Coturnix japonica: one gene and its partner. The protein of the gene in region 2 purifies or fractionates together with the protein of the main gene of each other region. This does not show direct contact. Links are inferred from orthologs where the notes say so. Each region holds a gene or a part of one and is shown on either strand. Other genes may lie near its edges.

What was found.
Region 1: the proteins of NUAK2 (region 2) and PPP1R12A purify together in Homo sapiens (affinity purification with mass spectrometry; 3 studies listed by BioGRID and IntAct, counting the BioPlex papers as one, with this or other methods). This does not show direct contact. The link is inferred for Coturnix japonica from reciprocal best matches to the Homo sapiens genes NUAK2 and PPP1R12A.

What each region holds. Positions count from the first base shown.
Region 1 is NC_029516.1:36,037,001-36,041,423, reverse strand, and holds the start of PPP1R12A (protein phosphatase 1 regulatory subunit 12A), read left to right. Parts: upstream 1-1,575; 5' UTR 1,576-1,717; coding exon 1,718-1,954; intron 1,955-4,423. UniProt on the Homo sapiens protein: Key regulator of protein phosphatase 1C (PPP1C). Mediates binding to myosin. As part of the PPP1C complex, involved in dephosphorylation of PLK1. Capable of inhibiting HIF1AN-dependent suppression of HIF1A activity.
Region 2 is NC_029541.1:2,392,464-2,396,849, forward strand, and holds the start of NUAK2 (NUAK family SNF1-like kinase 2), read right to left. Parts: upstream 2,924-4,386; 5' UTR 1,771-2,923; coding exon 1,573-1,770; intron 1-1,572. UniProt on the Homo sapiens protein: Stress-activated kinase involved in tolerance to glucose starvation. Induces cell-cell detachment by increasing F-actin conversion to G-actin. Expression is induced by CD95 or TNF-alpha, via NF-kappa-B.

The DNA of each region.
Region 1 (4,423 bases), on a different chromosome or scaffold from region 2:
GACTGCAATGCTTTTAAGAAAAAACAAAAAATCAGAAAACGCACTGGCAACAACCTCATTGTTAAACTGGTGATCATTTGAAGCCTGCTATAAATTAGCTGAAAATATATACATGAATAGATGGTACCTCTACAAGCATTTACACAGATATAAAGACAGGGATCTCTTGGAAAGAGTCCAGCGGAGGGCCACTAAGATGGTGAAGGGCCTGGAGCATTTCCCCTATGAGGAGAGACTTAGGGAACTGGGTCTGTTTAGCCTTGAAAAAAGAAGGCTGAGAGGGGACTTGATCCAGGTTTATAAATACCTGAGGTGTGGGAGCCATAGTGGTGAGGCTGGTCTCTTTTCAGTAGTGCGTGGGGACAGGAATAGGGGTAATGGGATGGAACTCCAGCATAGGAAGTTTCGCATGAATGTGCAGAAGAACTTCTTTACAGTGAGGGTGACGGAGCACTGGAACAGGCTGCCCAGGGAGGTGGTGGAGTCTCCTTCTCTGGAGATATTCAAGACCCGCCTGGACGCCTACCTGTGTGACGTGGTGTAGGGAGCCTGCTTTGGCAGGGGGCTTGGACTCGATGATCTCTAGAGGTCCCTTCCAACCCCTACAATTCTGTGATTCTGTGATATCTCTAGAAAAAAAATTGGGTATTTTTATAGTGTGTGGCCAGCAGGTTGAGGAAGGTGTTCCTCCCCTCATCTGCTCTGGTGAGGCCATATCTGGAGTACTGTGTCCAGTTCTTGGCTTCTTGGTTCAAGAAAGACAGGGAAAGAGTGGTTAGGCCCTGGAACAGGCTGCCCAGAGAGGTTGTGGATGCCCCGTCCTTGGAGGTGTTCAAGACCAGGTTGGACGGGGCCCTGGGCAACCTGATCTAGTAAATGTGTATGTTTGGTGGCCCTGCCAGGCAGGGGGGTTGGAACTACATGATCCTTGAGGGCCCTTCCAACCCGGGTCATTCTGTGATTCTGTGATTCTGTGAAGTGCTGGAGAGAGCCCAGTGAAGGGCTCCAAAGATGTTGAGGGGCCAGGAGCATCACCATTATGAGGAAAGACTGAGAGACCTGGGCTGAGATTATAGGAAAGAACAAACCACACACAATTTGAGGAGCATGAGGTCTGGTGACCCTCTCAAACTACACTTTGTTTCCCATAATGAGTTGTAATTAGAACTTCTTTTCCAGTAAGCTCAAAGCCACGGAGATCATTCAAATCAGCAGAAAATACGCTGTTTATAGCTAAAGCAAACATGCAACGTGCAGGGCAAAGAACTGCAATTCCTTCTCTCCCAACACAAGCAGGGCGCGCTGCTTCAGATTCCAGGCTGCAGTCTCACTAACAGACTCACACCCTCCCGCAGCCTTTGGTTCCCGAGCCCTGCAGTCAGTCCCTCACGAACCGCTGACCCTGGGGCTGAACTCCTGAACCCTCCGCCCGCCCAAACTCCGGCCGCGCCTCAGCCCGGCCCCGCCAACACCCCCGTCCCCGCGTGACGTCACGCTCACGGCCCCAGCGCCCACCTCCCTCGGGTTCCGCCCCGGCGTGGAAATCTCGCGGGATGATGTTAATGACCCACCGGCAGCGCCCGCCCCTCGGTTCCCTCCCGCCCTGCGCTTCCATCTGGGTGGGTGAGTGAGGGCGAGCGCGGTGCGCTGTGGGATAGGGCGGTATATAGTCTATCCTCGGCGCGGCGATAGCGAGGGGGTCAGGCGGGAGCGGGGCATGAAGATGGCGGACGCCAAGCAGAAGCGGAACGAGCAGCTGAAGCGTTGGATCGGTTCCGAAACCGACCTGGAGCCGCCCGTGGTCAAGCGTAAAAAGACCAAGGTGAAGTTCGACGACGGCGCCGTCTTTCTGGCCGCCTGCTCCAGCGGGGACACGGAGGAGGTGCTGCGGCTGCTGGAGCGCGGCGCCGACATCAACTACGCCAATGTGGACGGGCTCACCGCGCTCCACCAGGTCGGTGCGGCCGGGCGGGCAGGGCCGGGGGCGAGGCCTGCGGGGCGCCCCTCCGGGAGGCGGCCGCGGGGGAACGGGCCGGCGGCGGCGGCTCTGCCGTCCGCTGGGGGGGCGTCGGGGCGGGGAGGGGCCGCGGGGTCGGGCCCAGGGGCGGCGGGGGAGTGGCCGTGCCGTGGGGCCTCTGCCCCGGAGCCTCCGGGCCGGGTCACCTCCCGGCGGCGGGGACCTCCGGGAGTTCCCCCCCGCCGGGATCGGGGTGCGGGCCCCGCCCGAGCCCCCCGGGAGCTGTCGGGGCAGGGCCGCAGGTGAGGGGAGGCGCTGCGCGGGGTCGCTTCCCGCTGCCGCCGCTCCCCGCGGCGGTTTCCGGCTTCCTCCGTCCGTCCGGAGGTTCGGCTGCGCTTGGGGCTGATGAAAGCCCGCTCCTCTGTGTGCGGGGACAGCCGGGCCGTGCGCCGCGCTCCCTGTTCCAAAGGGAAACAAGCGATTTGTGCCCAACATAGAAACGCGTGTCACTAACAGCCCGCTTCTTCTGCCGCAGTGTGCGAGCTGAAGTTGACGGGAGCTGGGCTTTTCCAGCCTGCTTCCGCGTGTCGGAGAGCAGGGCGACGGAGCCGAGTGGCTTTGTTCGGGCGTGGGTGTGTGGCCGGGGTTGGTGCCGTGAGGGAACTTCACTCGGGGCAGGGAGACGGGCTATGAAGTTTCCTCAAAATGGATGCTTTGTGCACGCTGAACTTCATAGCAGTCTGATTGGAATCTCAAAACGTTAGCCAAATAAGGAAAGGCTGTGGCAATCCAGAGATAATGCGGGTTTGCCTGAATAGTTCTTCTTTTTCTAGAAGGCCAAAAGCTTCCACACAGTATTAAATTCCCTGGATAGCTAAAAAGTTAAAAAAATCTATATAGATAATACTTATGTAGCTTTGACGGGCCAGGTTCTCGTTCTTAAGTTTAGAACTTGTTTGCTACTTCAAGGTGAAGAAAAAGATTGGGATGTGGGTTGACCAAGTTGCAATCTTTCCAGAATGGTCAAGCGAGGTAATTAGGACACTGTTATATTGCACTGTTCTTAAACAAAAATGAGGTGGTGAACTCGGTGGGCGTTATCCTGCCCATGTAGACATCTAGGGATGTGAATTCCTACAAATATAAGTTGCACCTTAATAATGAAGACTAGAATCCGATTCTGAATGTAAGATATTGTAAGAATGTAAGATCTTGCTGCATTTTGCTCTGTTTCCTGTGTATGTCATCACTTGTTTGGCTGCGTAGGGTTTGCTTTCAGTTGTGAACTCAACTGGAAGAGTGACTGCACTGTGGTTAAGGCTGTCAGAGCGTTACTTCAGCAGCTTTGCCTGACTTGAGGCTACCCTGTTGCTCAGGAGCCTGGTTCTGTGCATTTATTCTTCTCTAATCAGGTTATGATTGCTGTGTGCTCGAAGGGAGCTCAGTATTACAAGTCATTCCTTAACTGGTTACATCGTAGCTCTGCAAATCACCGACTGGGTGCCAGTGATTGGTGGGCAGGGATGATGTCTGACTCGACTCCCTGAGAACGAGAGGTGAATGATGTTGTTTTTCTTCATGAAGTATAAATAGCATTTCCAAAGTGATTTTGACATTACATACAGCAAAGCCCGTCATCAGAATTACTCCGGTGTTATTCTGCCTGCCTTTTTACCTGTAGATGATTTGCGGGTTTGAAAGGTCAAAGTCTAATAGAATAAAGATTTGTGCCGCTAAAACTCCATTCGCTCTCTTGTTGCTGTACCAGGGAGCTTTTTCTGGTCTTACAATATTAAAAGCAAATAAGAAGATCAGTTGCGAGATGATAATCCTCTTGAGGCAGCCCAGGCATCTTATGGTTTGTGTGCTTTTCTTTGGTGTGGGTTTTTGTTGTCCTTGTTGTTGTTTGTTTTCTTCTTTAAAGATGACGAGGGAGGATAGCAAAATACCAAAGCTCTTCCCATGACTGCTTTGTTATTTTGTTCCGTTGTTATCAAGGTTTTTAACATGTCATATGAAAGGTGCAAATCACACAGTGTGCCGTCCTTAACGCGGATTCATTTAATCTGATTAGGCTGTGGAATAAAACAAAGCTTTATCTGTTCCCAAAGGAAACGCTTCAAAAACTTGTCACTTGTCCTGACAGTTCTGACTGATGTCAGTGGTGTTGAAGCCCATTTTGTTGGAAACTGTTGGCCTTGCTGTTGTGTTGCTGCTTCTTGTTGTCGTTTTCCTTGTATGTTTTGTTGCTTTATGGATTGAATTTGTTAGTGGGGACAGAGTGACCCTACCTTCTTTGGGTAGCGTTTAGTCTTGCATCTAATATTTTTTTGCAGTTATTGAGAGCAAATCTGTAGAGCTGTGGAATGGCTCAGGTTGGAAGGGACCTTTAAAGACTGATTAGCTCCAATGCTCATGTTCTGTGTCTGAATGTTTAATTCTATTGCTGTTCAGCTTTTGTTTTTC
Region 2 (4,386 bases):
CAATGCACACCGGAAGGGACCGGGGTTCGCCCCTCAGTGGAGATCAAAGGAGGCTGGAGTGCTTTGGAACACTCCAGGTGCTGCCTTCCCCCAGCACTGCATAAGCCCACAGATCCATTCCTGACCCCGTAAGGGCCCCCTCCAGCTCCTGGTTGCCCTGGGTTGATGGTGAAGCAATGATATGGGAGGGAAAGGGCCAAATGCTGCCCTAGCAGCAGGTGCAGGATGCACTGCATGAACCTTCAGAACAAAAGGCATGAGGTGGCAGGGCAAATAAATACATACATAAATGGGAAAGAAAAGAAAGACAGCCAAGCAGCTAAGAAAGAAGGTTTGATATTCAGTGAGTTACCTGTACAGTTTGATCAGCCAGAGGCCAAAGCTGTGCACGGAGCAGCTCCAATGCTGCTGTAATGTGGGATCTGCACAGCCCAGGAGGGGTAACCCAAGAACCTGCTCACACTTGGGCCTTTGGGAAGTGAAAGCCACTTAGAAAAGGAACAAACATCCCAGCTCGGGATAAGCCTAAAGATTAAACAGGTCCGGAAATGCTGAGTGGTGCAAGAAAGTATTTGTGGGAAGAGGAGAGATTTGTGGTTAAGCCTCCTGTTCCCACAGGGCCGGCTCGCTGCACTACTAGTTAGTCCAGCCTTTGACTATCTTTGGCACTTATGGAAGAGCCATTGGTGTGTGGATTTGATTTGCATTATAATGGACTTATGCTACCAGACAAACAAGTCTCTGTCCTAAGGGGCTTCCACAGGTAGGAACCTTTTCCGGTGGCTCAATGATCCCCTGCACAGGCTTTGTTTGGTGCAGAAAGGGAAAGCCAGGGCTCCTCACCCACCCCAGGGATGGGATCCCCCTAGGCTGGTGGGTGGGAGCTGTGCTGCAAGGCCTTGGTTATGCAGCAGCATCAGATAGGGGAATGGAAACGGCAGATCTGACTTAATGAAGAGCTGTCGGAGAGGAAAACCTCTCCAGTTTACAGTTGTTTTCATTGACACGCTCCAGGGGCACACTAGCAAGCCAATTTTACACCCTTCTGGTGCTCAAAGCCTCATTGCTTGTGTACCACAGGGTGCCTGAGGCTGAGCTGCCCGAATCACACCAGGTCTATGCTTGAGGCTGAGCTCTGCATTGCACAGAGCCCACTTACTTCCAAATGGGCCGAGACAGCAATTCAGCAAGTCACGACTTCAAGCAGACACTCAGGGCTCTGAGGGGCTCAGCTTTGCTTGCACACCACCGAGTCAACATGTAAAACCAACTCAACACCAGGGCGAGAGGAAGGGAACGATCCTTGAGACAGGAGTGAGATGTTTGTTCTTCCACATCGGATATCTGCAAAGCCCTCTCAACCCAGGAAGCCCGACTGGGTCAAGTGGGCTCTGGGTACAGCAGCCCCCCGGCTCATACCCTCCTTGAGCCGCATTCCCCCGGTACCGGGGGCTCTATACACCGCCGCGGTCCCTGTTATATTAGCGGGGCTGAACCGGAGTCGGTATCGCCGCACGGGAATAGCAAAGATGCACCGAAATAACACCGGGGGAACGCAGGACCAGCTCTTACCAGCTTCCCGGAACGCTCCCGTGCTTTCTTCACCTTCCCATACGTCCCTTTCCCCAGCGTTTCCAGGAACTCGTAGCGATGCTTGAGGTTGTGTTTGTGGTGGTGCCGTTTCACCGCCTGCTTCTTCATCAGCGGCCGTGGAGATTTGATGAACCCCTCGGCCAGCGAGGTGCCCCCGAGCCCCACAGCCCGCTCCATGCCGCTCTCCTGCCCGGCTCCGCCGCCAGCCCCGCTCCTAAATGCGACGGCCCCGACGGCCGCGCCTCCCCGCTCCCATTGGCCGCCCTACAGCCCGCCCCACCCGGCTGCCGGTACGGGGATGGGGGGGCTATGGGGCTGGGCAGGTGCAGGGGGATACCCGGCACCGCTGGGATAAAGGAGGAGGGGGGGGAGTGGAGATGGGTGTTGCCGTGGTGGTAATTGGGGGATGCGCAGAGTCGGAGGTGTAAAGGAGACAGTTGGGTGGGATAAGAAGGAAGAAAAGTGGGGTCCCGAGTGGTGGGGGTGTGTTGAAGGTGTGCAGAAGGGGATGGAGGGTGATGGTTGAACCCAAACTGAGAGATGGGGGGTCGGGGTGAGCAGCAAAGCGACCTGGTGCAACAAGAGGAGAGGTGCAGGTTAACCGGGGAGGGATGCATGGATGGCCACAGCCACACATACAGAACCACGACAGATCCGGCTCACTGTCAGAATAAAAACCAACCTATAACAGCGTATTGAGGGCAAAATCAAAGAGAGGAGAGACCAGACAGGCACAGCCACAGAGCGGTGCTCAGTTCTGCATGCACTGAGCAGGGATCTGTGGGTAGAACGGAATGTCTACAGGCTGTCCCAATAGAAATTCACTGTACGCTCGGCAGCACCTCCCCGTGTGGTCTTTTTTCTTTCTGCCCCTGTGGTAAGTCTTTGTTTTGAGATATTAAAAGAATGCGATGATCCTCCAGAGCAGCCCAAACAAAAGCTCTTGCCCAGTTCTGGCATGTGCGAGGACACACCGTATCGATGGAAGAAAGAGATAGCTGCTGCATTACTCATCAGACCTGGGTTTTCCCATCGCTTCCAGCAGCTCGGGGCAGACGGGGTGAGGCAAAGCAGGGGCTCATGTGAGGGATGAGAGAACAACCCCCGGCCTCTCTCTGCAGGCTTTGTGTCTATGGACACAGAGATATCAGCTGTGCCATCCCGTGTTGGGATGAGAGCCAAGCAGAGCTCCTTGCAGGCTGGGTACCAGAGTGCTGGGTTAGAAAGGTGCTGTTGAATGCATCCACCCCACAGCATAGACAAGGCAAGGGAGTGCTGAAGTCGAGACGTGGGACACAGTCATGCACATCCCTGCAGCCTCAGGACTCGCAATGTCTTGCACCCTTGGTTTGTATTGCCATTGCCATTGCCTGTATGGAGGAGCAAATCAATCCCCGGTTTAACATCAGCCATCTCCCACCTGTGAGGGGTTGGGGTGGGTGTCCTGATGGCATCCTGAGTCAAAGCAGAGTGGCACCAATGAATTATTCACTGCGCAGTAACAGGAGCTGCATTTCGATCTGAGGGCGGCCAGAGGGACCCGTAGGGGAGACAAACAAAGAGCAGATGAGATTAACTAAACTGCTGTAATTTCGATGTCAAAGTAAACAGATAGGATCCTGTTCAGGCACAGCCCAGAGGTTGCCGCCGAGTGGAAGGGGAAGAAGCAAAGCTCCCTGTTGCAATAGAGCAGAGAATGTCTCTGGTGGAGACGAAAGCTCCTGCACACTTACAGCCCACACAGCCACAGCTGTAGGATCGCTCAGGGTTTGCCCAGCGGCCCAGGAAGCACTCGAGCACGATTTAGCCTTAAGCACACGTTTAATGTCCTCTTGATTTACAGGAATGCCTTCCAGAGGCTTTCCCCGGGATGAAAGGAAATGACTCGGGTTGCTTCTCTTTCTGTTTCCAGCAGATAAATTCCTCTCCTCGGTTCTCCTCGCTGACACTCAGCCGAGGTATGCTTTTGTTCCAGGCTCCCTTCAGGAAGCCCTTTATAATGGAAATATCAAGGGACGCGGATCTAAGTCGGCTGGAATTCGCCGATAAGGATCCCTTCTTGTGGCCGTCTGTATTACCGCTGCTTCCTCAGCAGCAAACCCAAGGAAACCCAAGGAAAATCCCCAGCCCCATCCATAGCCATCCATCCCAGCTGTGCTCTCTGTAGCAGCACAGAGCTCTGTGTGTCTGCTAACACCGACGTGAAAGTCAGGCAGGAATTTGGCCCTGTGACAGGTCAACCTCAAAGCCAGTCTGATCGACCCGATGCTTCGTAAGGATGGGAGTTTGGTTCTCTTCCAGCCTGCTAGGTTTTTGTTATTATTATTATTATTATCGTTTGGATTATTATTTCTTAATGTAAATGGATGCTACAGCACTGCCTCTGTGTTACAAACATCCTTGTCGTGGTCAGAATAGACCCGTGTATAGCAGTCAGAACTTGGATAGGGAGAGGTGCCCTGCCAGGTTTTACAGAGCCAGAGGCAATAAAAAGACCAATGATCGCCTCTCATTAGTGGCCTCCCAGCCAACATCGTTCCCCTCCTGCTGTGGGGCAGCTCGGGCAGATGTGGAACCCATCCATCCTCCAAAAACACCAAAGAAAGGGGTTTTGCTCTGATCTTCCCCTCTGGGAGCCCCATCCATCAGCAGAAGAAGGGAAACACATTAAGCAGCAAAACGGGAGCCTTTGGAAAAGGAATTTATGACCTATTGAATCTCACCATCGCAGAGCAAGGCCACCTCGGCACCTGCACCTACCGCAGCTGCTCAGTTTATCCCCCCACCCCCTGC